Linked DNA regions of Rattus norvegicus. The protein of the gene in region 2 binds, or shares a complex with, the protein of the main gene of each other region. Links are inferred from orthologs where the notes say so. Each region holds a gene or a part of one and is shown on either strand. Other genes may lie near its edges.

Region 1 (3,642 bases), on a different chromosome or scaffold from region 2:
ATGCAATGCTCTTACCTGTAAGGGTTTCTAAGCTCTTCAGTGATGTAGTTAAGTTGGTTCCTAGACAAAGAAAAGTAACGAGGATGACACCATGACGTGCTACATGACTCTCTTGGCTAAGTTTGTGGAGCAATGATAAATGTTGATTCATTTTAAGATTTCTACTGTAGGACACATAACTCAGCATCAGTGTCTACCTAAAAACCCCCAGTGAGGGGCTGGGAGTGTGGCTCAGTGGTAGAGCCCCTGCCTAGAATCCCCCAGTGAGGGGCTGGGGGCGTGGCTCAGTGGTAGAGCCCTGCCTAGAATCCCCCAGTGAGGGGCTGGGGGCGTGGCTCAGTGGTAGAGCCCCTGCCTAGGATCCCCCAGGGAGGGGCTGGGGGCATGGCTCAGTGGTAGAGCCCCTGCCTAGGATCCCCCAGGGAGGGGCTGGGGGCATGGCTCAGTGGTAGAGTTCCTGCCTAGAATCCCCCAGTGAGGGGCTGGGGGCGTGGCTCAGTGGTAGAGCCCCTGCCTAGAATCCCCCAGTGAGGGGTGGGGGGTGAGGCTCAGCAATAGAATGCTTTCTTAGCATATACAGAGCCCTAGGTTCCATCCTCAACAGTAAAAATAAAACAATGCAAGGAGTGCTGACAGAAAAACAAAAGGCCAAAAAGAGCTTTCACACCAGTGCAGGGTAACTTCTGCTCCCTAGGTCCTGGTGGTGACAAGTCTTCCTTGCAACTTCCAAGTGCTAGCTGTCTGATACTGGGTTAAGTCTCTGACCTCTGTGGAAATCATGTGAATTTCCAAGAATATTCAGGGTACTTTGAAAATCTGGAAAGAGGTTGGAAGAAGGATGAACCCTGTACCAGTGGTAACGGGGAGGCCAGCATCACCACGGCCATGCTTCTGCCTTGAGGGACACAGCACAGTCCATCTAATGTCTGCAGGACTGCCGGGCTAGTACCATTGAAAATCCTTGGTCTTGTCAGGTGTTTGGGCAGCCTGTGCTGCCTCTATGCAGCTCAGATGGAATTCTCCAGGTACACAGAGCTTCACCAACGACACCCTCACCGGGCACTGTCAGGGGCCGGAGCCAATTCCGGGCTGGGAAAGGGTTAAGGTGATCATGTGGCCCCATGATCTCATCTATGGTGTCCCAGGGATGTGGGAAGGTCAGGGTTTGAGCATTTCATGTGAAGGTAAAGCTAAAGATGCTGTACCCCGGAAAGGTGACATCTTTGCTCTCCATAGCAGCTGAAACTGAAGCTTCGTAAAGACCCCACCAGTGGACTGGGAGTGTTTCAGGAGCGCTTACCACCCATCGTAGGCCCAGAGTCCGTTGTAAAATGCCAGGCTGATGGAGCCCACAGAGGTCTGTGAACCCTCAAAAGAATTCTGAAAGTTCTTAACATTTCCTGAAATTAAGCCAGACAGTGAAGCGGGAATGTCAGCTAGCCAGACACTGACTTCATTCCCCTCTCTACCGGAAGAAGGGTATGACTCCTGACCCATTTATTAAAGGAACCGAAACTTCACGTGATAGGACATGTCTGTCATCCCAGCACTCAGGATACTGAGGCAGGAGCATCGTAAGTTAGAGACAAGCCTAGGCTATATGATAAGTTCCTGTGTCAATCAATCAATCAATCAATCAATCAGTCAATAGATCAATCATCAATGCCAACAAGCAAGCACAAATACATAAACCATAAAACACACGTGCTCGTGGGCAAGACTGCTCTAGAAGACAGGAAGTCACATGCCAGGCGGGGCCTGCTCTCCCATCCTGCCACACCTCACCTTGCGCCAGGAGGACCAGTCCGCTGATGATGATGATGGCGACGATCACCAGCTTGGCTGCCGTGAAGACATTCTGCACATAGCTGCCAAGCCGCACGCTCAGCGCATTCACTGTAGTGATAAGCACTGGAAGGCGCAAGTCGGGTAACATTCTGTATTCATCGTTCTTCCCAAGGTCCTGGAAAGCCCTTCTTTTCTATTCCCCCACCACCCCCAGACCCTCAATAAAGGGAGTAGAATTAAATAAACTGGCTTTAGCAACTTTAAGATACACCAATGTTGACACTCAAAATCAAGCCCAATCTCAGACTGTGAAGGAGAAGCAGCCAGGCCCTGAACAAGGAAAACCCAGGATAGCCCCCTTCCTGCAGCTCCAGGATAACCCCCTTCCGGCAGCTCCCACAGGCCTGGGGGTTTGCCCACCACCTGCTGGGATGGCCAACCTGGGCCTGTTTCACCAGGCCCTGCAGGCCTGCTGTGCTAAGTAAGGAAGAGCCAAGACTAGATTCCGAAGATGTCAACAACTCGGGCCTTCCCTGTCTCCCCTCCCATCCCCCCACCCTGGCTGGTAACTCACAGATGGCAGCAGCAGCCAGGAGTTTCACTACCACAGCAGGAGGCCTGCAGCCTAAGTAAAAGGCCGCACACACATACTCTGAAAAGCTGAGGCAGATGATGGCGAAGGATGAGGGCTTCATGACAATCAGGCTGGTCCAGGAGAAGAGGTAGGCAGGGATGGGGCCGAAGGCCTCCATCAGATAGGGGTACTCACCCCCTGACTTGGTGATCATTGTGCCAAGCTCTGCAAAGCACAGGGCGCCTGGAACACAGGAGGGAGCCCACTCCTTATGAGGTCCCATCCTAATCCACAGAACCTTCCTCCTTTGGGGGCTCACAGTCTGAATAGCCCAGTCCTAGCTGCTGGACCTTTAACTGCAAGCAGATTCACCCTTATTTACCACACACCCACTGCAAAAGGAAGCCAGCTGGGCATGGTGGTACAAGTCTATAATCCCAACTCTTAGGACCTTTTCTGGGGAGCCCTAGCCTCTAGATGGGGAAGGTCGAATAGTCCTTAGCACTACAAGTTCAATCCCCAAGCAAGTACGTGGGATTCCTGGAACACCTCTCCATGCAAAGGAGGTGTTCCTAGTACCTTTAAGTCCAGCCAATGAAACTTCACCCTAAGAAGAACCTCTTCCCATTCTCCAAAGGTCCGTATATATCCCTAGTTCACCCTGAATAAAATGGATGTGTACAAACCAACCCAGAATAAAGGTATGCATACAAGCTAAGATCCTCTGAGAGAGCTGTTTCACTGGTGACTGTCAGAGAAGGCCTTCATCTAGAAGAGCTGTAGCGCTAAGATCCTCAGGGAATACCCCACACACACACACACACAGACACACCGACACTCCCAGCCTCATCTGGATCCCGCAGAACCCTACCCATTTCAGACACCGCTTCATCCTTCCAGCCTGGTGTCTAAACACCCTGAGAAGAAGGACTCGGAACCACGGCTACATCCCACAACAGGCATACCACAGCTTGAGACCAGCCTGGGCTACCAAATGAGACCCTGTGCTTGCGTGGCTTGTCGCCTCTATTACCCAGTGTAGCCAGGACTCCACAGGCTGCCCATATGATGAGACAGGGCCCCACGGATTCTGTGTTGGCCAGCACAGACTTGGGGGAGATGAAGATCCCGGAGCCGATGATGGTGCCCACAATGATACAGATACCACTGAGAAGACCCACCTGCATGTGCAAGAAGAGAACTAATTCTACCAGCTGGGCGTTCACAGGGCCAGAGATAAATTCCCCCAACCCCAGTGAGGCCAGAAGAACCCAAGCTGA
Region 2 (4,442 bases):
GCAGAAGTTCACACACAAGAGATTCTTGGCTTGTCAGAGGGACCAATGGAAGTTAAGCTCTGTATGTGGAACCCTGTAGGACGATTGCCTGCTGTGGCTTCTAGACCGTGGTCCTAAATGCAGATTCGAAGCCTTGAGCCAGTATTTTTCTCTGTGTTTCCACGAGCCTACCTAAAGCATGCCTCATCTAAACAAGCAGAAGGTCAAGAAGACCAAAGCACAAAGTCTCCTGACCCTGGCAACAGCATCCTGGCAGAAGGGGAGACATTTAGAGACGCTCTTTGGTTTTCAGACTATTGAAACAGATGCCCCTCAGGGATTAGAATTTTCCCCCCAGAATCTCCTGCTGGGAGAGGAAAAAGCCTGAAGCCTGGTGCCAGCCAGAGGAGGAGCTTATCTCCGGGAAAGAGATTTCTCACAGCTCTCAGCACCTCGGCAGAGCACCGGGATGACCAGAGCTGGAGAGTGAGGCATCTACGAGAGATGGCCACACCTTGGCCAGGACTGCTTTGCTGTGCATTTCTCTTCCCTTTTATTCCAGCCTACGCCTCCCATCAAGAACCCTGACTGGGGCCCTGTGGAATCAGTCTCTGCGTTTCTCTGTCACTCAGCAGGACCTAGCTGCCCTGTTGAGAATGGAGACTGAGCACCTGGATATGCCCATCCTGCTGTAGCAGGTGCTTGCTGTGCTGCCTTCCAGTTGGCTACAGCATTTCAGGGCGACAGCTGGCGGCAGAAATATTTCCACTTACACCCCAAGCAAGCACAGGACTGAGGACGCAGGGTTCCCTGGAGCAGAGTGGCTACTCCAGCATAAGGAAGGGAGAAGACTGGGGCAGCTGGGGGTCGGGAACGACATACCACCAAGGGACTGAGGGACCCTAGTCCCATCTTTGGAGAGACAGAAGGCAACACTAAAACCAAACATGGGGCAATTTCTTCAGAATAACAGAATCCTTGAACTTGAGGAACAGTACCTACTGGATATCAGGAAGCGACTGTTTCCAAAGGTAAAACAGAAGACACACAGAGCTGACTAGAAACTGCATGTCTGTGGGGACTTGGAAGCCACTTAGGAGCGAGCTGGAGGCAGGCCCAGGAGGCAGAAGTGTGTCCCTGGTTCTGGATTGTCAAATCCGAGGTTGCCAACATTTGCTGAGTAGGAGGGGAAACAGGAGCTTGCAGGCAGTGCCAAGGGGCATAACGTCCAAAGCAGCAAGGGACCATGATGAAGGTGAAAGATAAAGCCTCAAGAAGGTGGCAGCTCTGAGTCGTGCCCCTGGGGACAGATACATAGTTCTCCAGATAGTGAAGATGGAGAAACTATTTTTAAGAGTGGAAAGGCTGCTGAAACTTGTCTCACAGGGCAAAGCTGGGGATCCACCCCAGACGGAGAGTGTGGAGAAAAAGTCAGGGGTGGGAGGGGGACAAACAGGACAGAGTACAAAACAAAGAAGCCTTTCATTAAGGAAGTCTGGGGGCTTTGAACATATGACATTTTAAAGACAAACTCACTCTACCACACCATCTTGGTTTTTCCTTCAAACAAATAATCATTGCAAGAAAAGAATTTCCTTCCTAGTTTATTTCTTCTCACTGCACTCCCTTTTTATAATTCTGTGTGTCTCTGTCTCCCCTCCTCCCTCCTTCTCTCTCTCCCCCTCCCCACTTTCTGTTTTGATTTTAGCCCTGGCAATCTTCCTCAGCCTCCTCAGGGCTAGCATTACAAGCCAGAGGGACAGCACCCAGCTCTCTTGTGTCCTAAACCATGGTGACTCATGAGCCAATCTAGTTTACACCCACTGTCTAGCACAGTTTCAATCTTAATATGGCTGATGGAACATATATTATAATCCACTTATAAGGATAAGAAATGACATACAGAACTTTTAGCTTAATTTAAAAAAAATCCAAACGTTTGGTTCTATTTTTCTATCAATATGGCTGCCGCTGTGGAGAACCCTTTATTAGGCAACAACTGGTGAGCCTTTAGCCTTCTCTTATCTCTCAGGATTGAAACTTGAAGACAGTCATCCCTTCTGCAGACATTTGTATAACACGATGTATTTATTAATAAACTCTCAGCTAAAGAACACACTGTGCCTGTCCCCAGAGAGCCAGTCTCAGATGAAACACGGAGCCACAAAATCAGATTTTAGGATTGATGGGTGAATGAATATGTGCGTGGGTTTAGTGGGCAAGAGATTAAACAACCCCTTGGTTCTGAATCCTTCAGCAAAGAGCCTTGCATCAGGAGCAAGGCTTGCGGGCTTCTGCTGAGTGGTGCTTGAATGAACTCCCAGGGGAACGGGTGCCAGCCATCCTGGAATGTGTTTACCACACAAGCCAGGCACAAAGTGGTTTCCAGGAAGCTGGGAGTTGGCCCACAAACCACCCTCCACTGGTCCTAAGCGCCGAACACCCACCTTTCAGGTCTCCATTCCCATCCTTGTCACTGTCCTTAAAAGACCTCGGGTAGATCTGGTACATGGGACCTGCCTGCCACCAGTCAAGGCATTTTGGAGAGATGATGATGATGGCTATGGTGGCTCCGATGAGCAGGAACACGGAGACCACGGTGAGCCAGAAGAGGATCTCCCGAGGCACCCGGTAGCGAGCCTGGCCAGAGAACTGGAACAGCACCTCCTTGGGCATCCCTGCATAGGGCCGCACCACCTTTAGTTGAGGCTCCTCTGGAGCAGGGATACTAACAGCGTTGGACTGTGGAGTGTCCCTGGAGTCTGGGTCCTGCTCCTGGATGTCTTCATTTTGGACAAACCCGTTATTCGTCCGGCATCCCTTCATACTCATCTGGATAGAGTCTCTCTTGTCTTTGTCCTCATTCATGTCTATCCGGTGCAGCTCTTCCCAGTGCTTTCCAGTAGGGACAGAGTGAAAAGGTGGCTTGCTGGGTGCTGTGGTTTATTAATGAGCTTTGAATGGTTTATAAATAATCCTGGCTGGACAAAGTCCAGCCAAGGAAGAAAGGGTAAAGTTTAGTAAAGGGGGTCAGGGGGAGGGGGTGTGTGCACAAATGATCTTTACACCAGGTGGTTGACTCAGCTACAGTAACAGTACATGGGGGAGGAGACTGGGGAGAAGAGGCGGGCTTCCAAACACCGTAAGATGCTACTTGTGTGAGTTCCAACTGCCTACAGTAATTCCATTCACAAATCTACAAAAGGTGGAGGTGACCCAGAGATGCACCCATCATCATGTGAATGTGAAATGGACGTACAGGAGAAATTATTCCCTGAAAGGGAAGCCAAGTCTGACACACACTACAGGATGGATGGACCTCAAGGGCATTACGCTGAGTGGAAAATAACCACAGCCACACAAATATTGTGTGGTTCCACTTAGAGAAGGAATCTATGTTCACAGAAGCACAGAACAGAACAGTGGTTGGGGGTTTAGGAGGAACTGTGGGAAAGTGTTGGCCAATGGAATAGAATTCTAGCTAGGGATTTTGATGAGTTTTAGAGATGGACAATTGTGGTACTACAATAATGCAGACACACTGCCACCGAGCCAGTTATTAAGTGGGTATAATAGTGTTGTTTCACAATGGTTGAAAAACATTGACATTTTCTTTCTTTAGCTAGGTAGAAAAATGATCTCAAACTTTCTAAGGAGAAGCTGGCTGTCCATTTTGTTTGCAGGTGTTCCCCTACAGATCCACAGCAGCAGCTCTGGAGACAGGGGACTGCATTTTGTCGCTGAAGCTCATTTCATGTCAGCTCAGGCCGACTCCAGACAGCCCTTGTGTATGACTAAGCAAGGCATGTGTGTGCTCAGTTCAACCTCAGGCCTTTGATCCTGATTTCAGAGAAGAATGTGGTTTAACATTCTTGTAAGCACTTCCAGAAAAGGTGGGGGAATGGGATGCTGAGCCTTGCAAGTTCAAGTGTTTTACTACAGGCAAACAGTCCTTAATCCTCATACTAAGTAGTTGTTTAATCATTGACAAGTGTAGAACACATTTGCAAGTCCCCAGAAACTGTTGAAAGGCTGGCCTCAGAGATTCCCCAGGCCTCAAGAAATAAGATGATCAGTCACACTTGAGGGCTTTGATTAGACAGGAGGTGTTTTCTTTTTTTTTTTAAAGATTTATTTATTTATTATATATAAGTACACTGTAGCTGTCTTCAGACCCACCAGAAGAGGGCATCAGATCCCATTACAGATGGTTGTGAGCCACCATGTGGTTGCTGGGATTTGAACTCAGGACCTCTGGAAGAGCAGTCAGTGCTCTTAGCCGCTGAGCCATCTCCCCAGCCCAGGAGGTGTTTTCTTAATTAAAATGTTTTTATCATTCTTGTGTTGGGTGGGGTGCGGGGTGCATGAGACGTTCAGACTCCACTGTCTTCTCTGGGTGCCCAACACCACAGGGGCTTCTGAAGGGCATCTTGTGTAACCAGTGACCTGTTCTGGTTTAATGT
Region 3 (4,192 bases), on a different chromosome or scaffold from region 2:
GTAGCCAAACACTACCCTTGAATTCCTGGTCCTCCTCTCATACCTCCTGAGTGCTGGGATTATAGGTGTAATACATGACACCTGGTTTTATGGAGTATAGGGACAGGACATATTGAAACATCCTCAACTGTTTGTTGACCATCAGCCATTTGAGAGAAATTCTGTATTAGTTTAAAGATTATTAACTGTTCTAGATCTTTCTTAATCAGAAATAATTACATGAAAATGATGCATCTCCAGCAGCAGAACAAGATTAAATTACTTCAAAGTACATTCTTCTGAGGTGTGTGCACACAAGTGCACATGCACACGATGCACACACACACACACACACACACACACACACACCACACACACATACACTCACACACTCACAGACATAAAGACTCTCTTTAAGTCGCAAACTTCGAAAGAATTATTCGAGTCTTTTTTTCTTCATTCCTCACTTTTGGACCCAATATAAACTAACTTTTTTAAATGTATTTTTATTGGATATTTTATTTATTTACATTTCAAATGTTATTCCCTTTACTGGTTTCCTTCCACAATCCCCCTATCCCATTCCCCCTCCTGCTTCTATGAGGGCACTCATCTACCTACCCACTCCTGCCTTGCCACCCTGGCATTCCCCTACACCAGCAAAACGAGCCTTCACAGGACCAAGGGCTTCCCCTACCATTGCTGCCTGCTACATATGCAGCTGTAGCCATGGGTCCCTCCAAATGTACTCTCTGATTGATGGTTTAGTCCCTGGGAGCTCTGGGGGGTCTGATTGGTTGATGTTGTTCTTTCTAGGGGTTTGCAAACCCCTTCAGCTCCTACAGTCCTTCCCCTAACTCCTCCATTGGGGTCTCCATGCTCAGTCTGATGATTGGCTGCAAGCATCCACATCTGTATTGGTCAGTCTCTAGCACAGCCTCTCAGGAGACAGCTACATCTGGCTCCTGTCAGCAAGCACGCCTTGGCATCCTCAATAGTGTCTGGATTTGGTGGCTACATATGGGATGGATCCCCAGGTGGTGCAGTCTCTGGATGGCCTTTCCTTCAATCTCTGCTCTACTTTTTGTTCCTGTATTTCCTTTAGACAGGAGCAATTCTGGGTTGGAAGGGGAGCATCCTCATAGAAGCAGGGGAAGGGGGATGGGAGAGAGGGGCAACCGGGAAAGGGGATAACATTTGAAATGTAATAAAATATCTAATAAAGAAAGTTAAAAAAAAGAAAAAAGAAAGAAAAAGAAAAGAAAGGGAGGTATTAAGTGTTGCCTGAGAGCTGTCAAGACAGCTATGATTCATGATTCTCTTATGTTTAAAAAAAAAAATACCTAAAGGACCTAGTACAGGTGCAAAGCAAAGCCCCTGCCCTGAGGCGAACAAGGAAGCAATGCCCTGAGGCGAACAAGGAAGCAATGCCCCACAAGAAAGGGCTACAGCAGCGCACAGCTGCCATGGTAAGGAAAGGTCTTGAAGCTGTAGGAGCGCGTCCACTTCATGTGTCCAGGAGGGCCAGGCTGAGGGGTGAGGAAAAGGAAACCTCTCTCAGATGACCGTTGGTACTGGCAATAATCCAAAACTTTTTTCTTGTCCTAGGAATCAAACCCAGAGCCTCAAGCATGTTAAGTAAATGCTCTAATATTGAGCTGTGTATGACCCCACCCCATCTCCCAAATGTAATTTCGTATGAACCTTTAGCAACACATTCATCCATGGAAGAAGAAATTTTTATAATTAAAAAACACGATTCCAAAACTAAATAAATGAAATCAGTGAAGAGCCGAAGAGTGCAGCCACTTGCAACACAACCCAGTCTGGCTTTACGACATTCCTGGATCCACAGTTTCACAGGACTGAGTTTTTTGCACCCTCTGAGCATTTATGCATTAACAGAAAGAAAAAGTGCATTAAATCAGGAGGTCTCATATTTCTGGTCCCAGAAAAATTAAGATGAAAAAGAGAAGGGTTTTGTTTGTTTTCATGTTAGTTTGAAATGAATTGAATGGGGAGAAAAATTAAGAATAGGTGATTTAGGAACTTAATGAATGAAGATCGCTATAGAGTTTGATAAAATCGCTAAGATGATAGTCAATGCATAATGAAAGATTCTCACTTCACATACAACATATCAGCCATGTTTTCTCCCCCCCCCCTCCAGATTAATAATTACCTGCTACGTATGTAAAACTTCCTCCGCCAGAAAATGCGAAGTATCCTTGGAAGATAGCTTCTATCAACCGAGAGACCTCTGGAAACTCGGCATCAAAAGCATTCTGAAGCCTTCGCACGTTCTCCTTCCTCCCTGTCACCAGCAAGAACAAGCCGCTGAGGGAAATGAAGCTAAGTATACCCATCTTCAGCACCATGCTCACTGTCTGAAGCCATGACAGCTCTTTCACACCACGAGAATTCAGAATTCCCACAATCCACAGCATCGCCAGGGCCAGACATTTTTTTGGTACAGCCGGGGCAGAGCAGCTGGGATAGAAAGGCTGAATGCCATACTCGGCGAGTAGCAGAGCTTGACTAGCCAGTACGCCTGGGCCCGTAAACAAGGAAGTCCAAAGTCTTAGGAATGCCACAAAAGGGCCAAAGCATCTCTTTAAAAAATAGTAGTGAGCCACCGTGTATGGGAAGGTTATTCCAATCTCTGCAGCACAGAGAGTACTGGTCATGGACAGCACTGCACAGAAAACCCAAACACACAAGGAGACTCCCACATTCATGGAAGAGTACTGTAGCACTCCCTTGGGGGACACAAATATCCCTGCACCAATTATATTGATAATTAAAAAATTTGTCCCCCAGAAATATCCAAGTTGTCTCTTGAGATATATTTTCTTCTCTATATCCATTGCCATTGAGAGTAGTTTACGCTCAACAAAATTCTAGTCTGTGAATGTTTCTACCTATATAGATGCTCTGAATGTACAGCTCTCTTCTTATTCCACCTCTATTAAATATGATCTATGTTCAATAATTAACAAAGTAGGTGTGACACATTTAAGTGAAATAAAATGGGTTGGTTACCTGTAAGGACTTAGTCTGACCTTTCTTTTAATAATTATCAGAATCAGGCATTTCAATTGAAAAGGGAATTTTAAAGGAATCAAGGTTAGGAAACGGGAATAAAGAGTGTTCTTGTTAAAGTTGCTAAGAACTTGTCTGTGCTGTGTTCACTGCATCCACGGACAATTGCCAAGATTAGGTGGACAACTGAAAAGTCACAAGAAAGATACGAGGTGGAAGAAATTTCAAAACTGGGAAACAAGTGGGCTTTTCTGTGGGTATTTATCTGTCTGTCTGTGACTGGGTCTTGCAATATAACCCTGGCTGCCCTGGACCTTGCCTTATACACAAGGCAGGACTAAACCTACACATTACTTCTGCCTCACCAGCATACATCACCATACCCAGATTTCAATGTTTTGCAGTGAGATAAGAGAGGAGATTAGGAAGGAAGCAGAATGAAAGTATGTTGGAGAATACAGAGCATTTTCAGGGAATCAAGACGTAGAGTGCCTATAGTCTCAGCCACTCAGGAGGCTGACACACAAGGATCAATTCAAGGCACAGCATTGCTGGCTTCCCCAAGTGTGGCTGAAATTTTCATCAAGAAATCAAAAATGAAGTGTGACCCCATGGGAAAATTGTCTAATGTAGCTATGCAAACAGGATCACTACACCTTGGAGGTAAGATGGGAGTCAAGGAAGTGCTTCTCCAGGCTTAAAACTTCATGTGTTCTGTTTGGTTTTGAGTGTGACTGGTGACAGTTTCCTTTGTACTTGCCTATTGTCCCCTTTGAATTAATTCTTCTGTCCTATGTCTATCCCAACACTGCATTTTGGAAGTAGATTTTTCTTTCATTTCATACTTTCAAAACTGCAGTGAATTTTTCCCAGGATGGTGCAGGACTTAAATCTGACCCATATTCAAGTCAGATGATCAATCTTTTGAGTTGGTGCTAAATGGACTGATACTTGGAGATTATTGGAATTGAATTAATGTATTTTACCTGAGACTATGACACATATTTGGGAAAGAATATTATGGCTTGAATGTATTCTCTAAAATTGTTCAGGTACTGAAAAAAAATGAATTCCCAAAGTTATAGGTCAATGGTATTGGAGAGAACTATTGGAAGTTAGAGTTAGGTGAGATCATAAAGGTGGGATACCATGACAAGGTTAGTGGCTTCAT

What was found.
Region 1: the proteins of Slc3a1 (region 2) and Slc7a9 are in contact, whole or in part, in a cryo-EM structure (PDB 6LID), measured with the Homo sapiens proteins. The link is inferred for Rattus norvegicus from reciprocal best matches to the Homo sapiens genes SLC3A1 and SLC7A9. Residues at the interface, in NP_000332.2 of Homo sapiens: Pro64, Tyr65, Ala66, Gly67, Met68, Pro69, Lys70, Leu73, Phe74, Phe76, Ser77, Tyr82, Pro85, Arg86, Phe90, Thr93, Val97, Leu100, Ile101, Ala103, Thr104, Ile107, Ile108, Ser111, Cys114, His201, Asp202, Thr373, Glu374, Pro375; in NP_001119807.1 of Homo sapiens: Cys137, Phe140, Tyr141, Val142, Gly143, Cys144, Pro147, Ile149, Val150, Cys153, Leu154, Ala156, Ala157, Leu160, Phe161, Thr164, Leu168, Thr279, Thr281, Asp295, Arg296, Tyr299, Tyr343, Val346, Arg347, Lys467, Thr470, Met471, His472, Gln474.
Region 3: the proteins of Slc3a1 (region 2) and Slc7a13 are in contact, whole or in part, in a cryo-EM structure (PDB 8WK6), measured with the Homo sapiens proteins. The link is inferred for Rattus norvegicus from reciprocal best matches to the Homo sapiens genes SLC3A1 and SLC7A13. Residues at the interface, in NP_000332.2 of Homo sapiens: Pro64, Tyr65, Ala66, Gly67, Met68, Pro69, Lys70, Leu73, Phe76, Ser77, Arg81, Tyr82, Pro85, Arg86, Leu89, Phe90, Thr93, Ser96, Val97, Leu100, Ile101, Thr104, Ile107, Ile108, Ser111, Cys114, Leu115, Glu194, Asn195, Asp202; in NP_620172.2 of Homo sapiens: Ile120, Phe123, Phe124, Pro125, Ser126, Cys127, Leu132, Pro133, Cys136, Leu137, Leu139, Ala140, Met141, Trp143, Ile147, Arg151, Lys187, Thr265, Arg267, Asp281, Arg282, Glu450, Cys454, Tyr455, Gln457, Leu458, Leu459, Phe460, Asn461, Ile462.

The regions. Positions count from the first base shown.
Region 1 is NC_086019.1:97,249,861-97,253,502, reverse strand, and holds part of Slc7a9 (B(0,+)-type amino acid transporter 1), read right to left. Parts: intron 3,544-3,642; coding exon 3,396-3,543; intron 2,606-3,395; coding exon 2,363-2,605; intron 1,912-2,362; coding exon 1,786-1,911; intron 1,401-1,785; coding exon 1,301-1,400; intron 61-1,300; coding exon 16-60; intron 1-15. UniProt on the Homo sapiens protein: Associates with SLC3A1 to form a functional transporter complex that mediates the electrogenic exchange between cationic amino acids and neutral amino acids, with a stoichiometry of 1:1.
Region 2 is NC_086024.1:15,391,865-15,396,306, forward strand, and holds the start of Slc3a1 (amino acid transporter heavy chain SLC3A1), read right to left. Parts: upstream 2,886-4,442; 5' UTR 2,848-2,885; coding exon 2,427-2,847; intron 1-2,426. UniProt on the Homo sapiens protein: Acts as a chaperone that facilitates biogenesis and trafficking of functional transporter heteromers to the plasma membrane.
Region 3 is NC_086023.1:38,073,019-38,077,210, reverse strand, and holds the start of Slc7a13 (solute carrier family 7 member 13), read right to left. Parts: upstream 2,914-4,192; 5' UTR 2,853-2,913; coding exon 2,162-2,852; intron 1,509-2,161; coding exon of another isoform or gene 1,323-1,508; intron 1-1,322. UniProt on the Homo sapiens protein: Associates with SLC3A1/rBAT to form a functional heterodimeric complex that transports anionic and neutral amino acids across the apical plasma membrane of renal epithelium.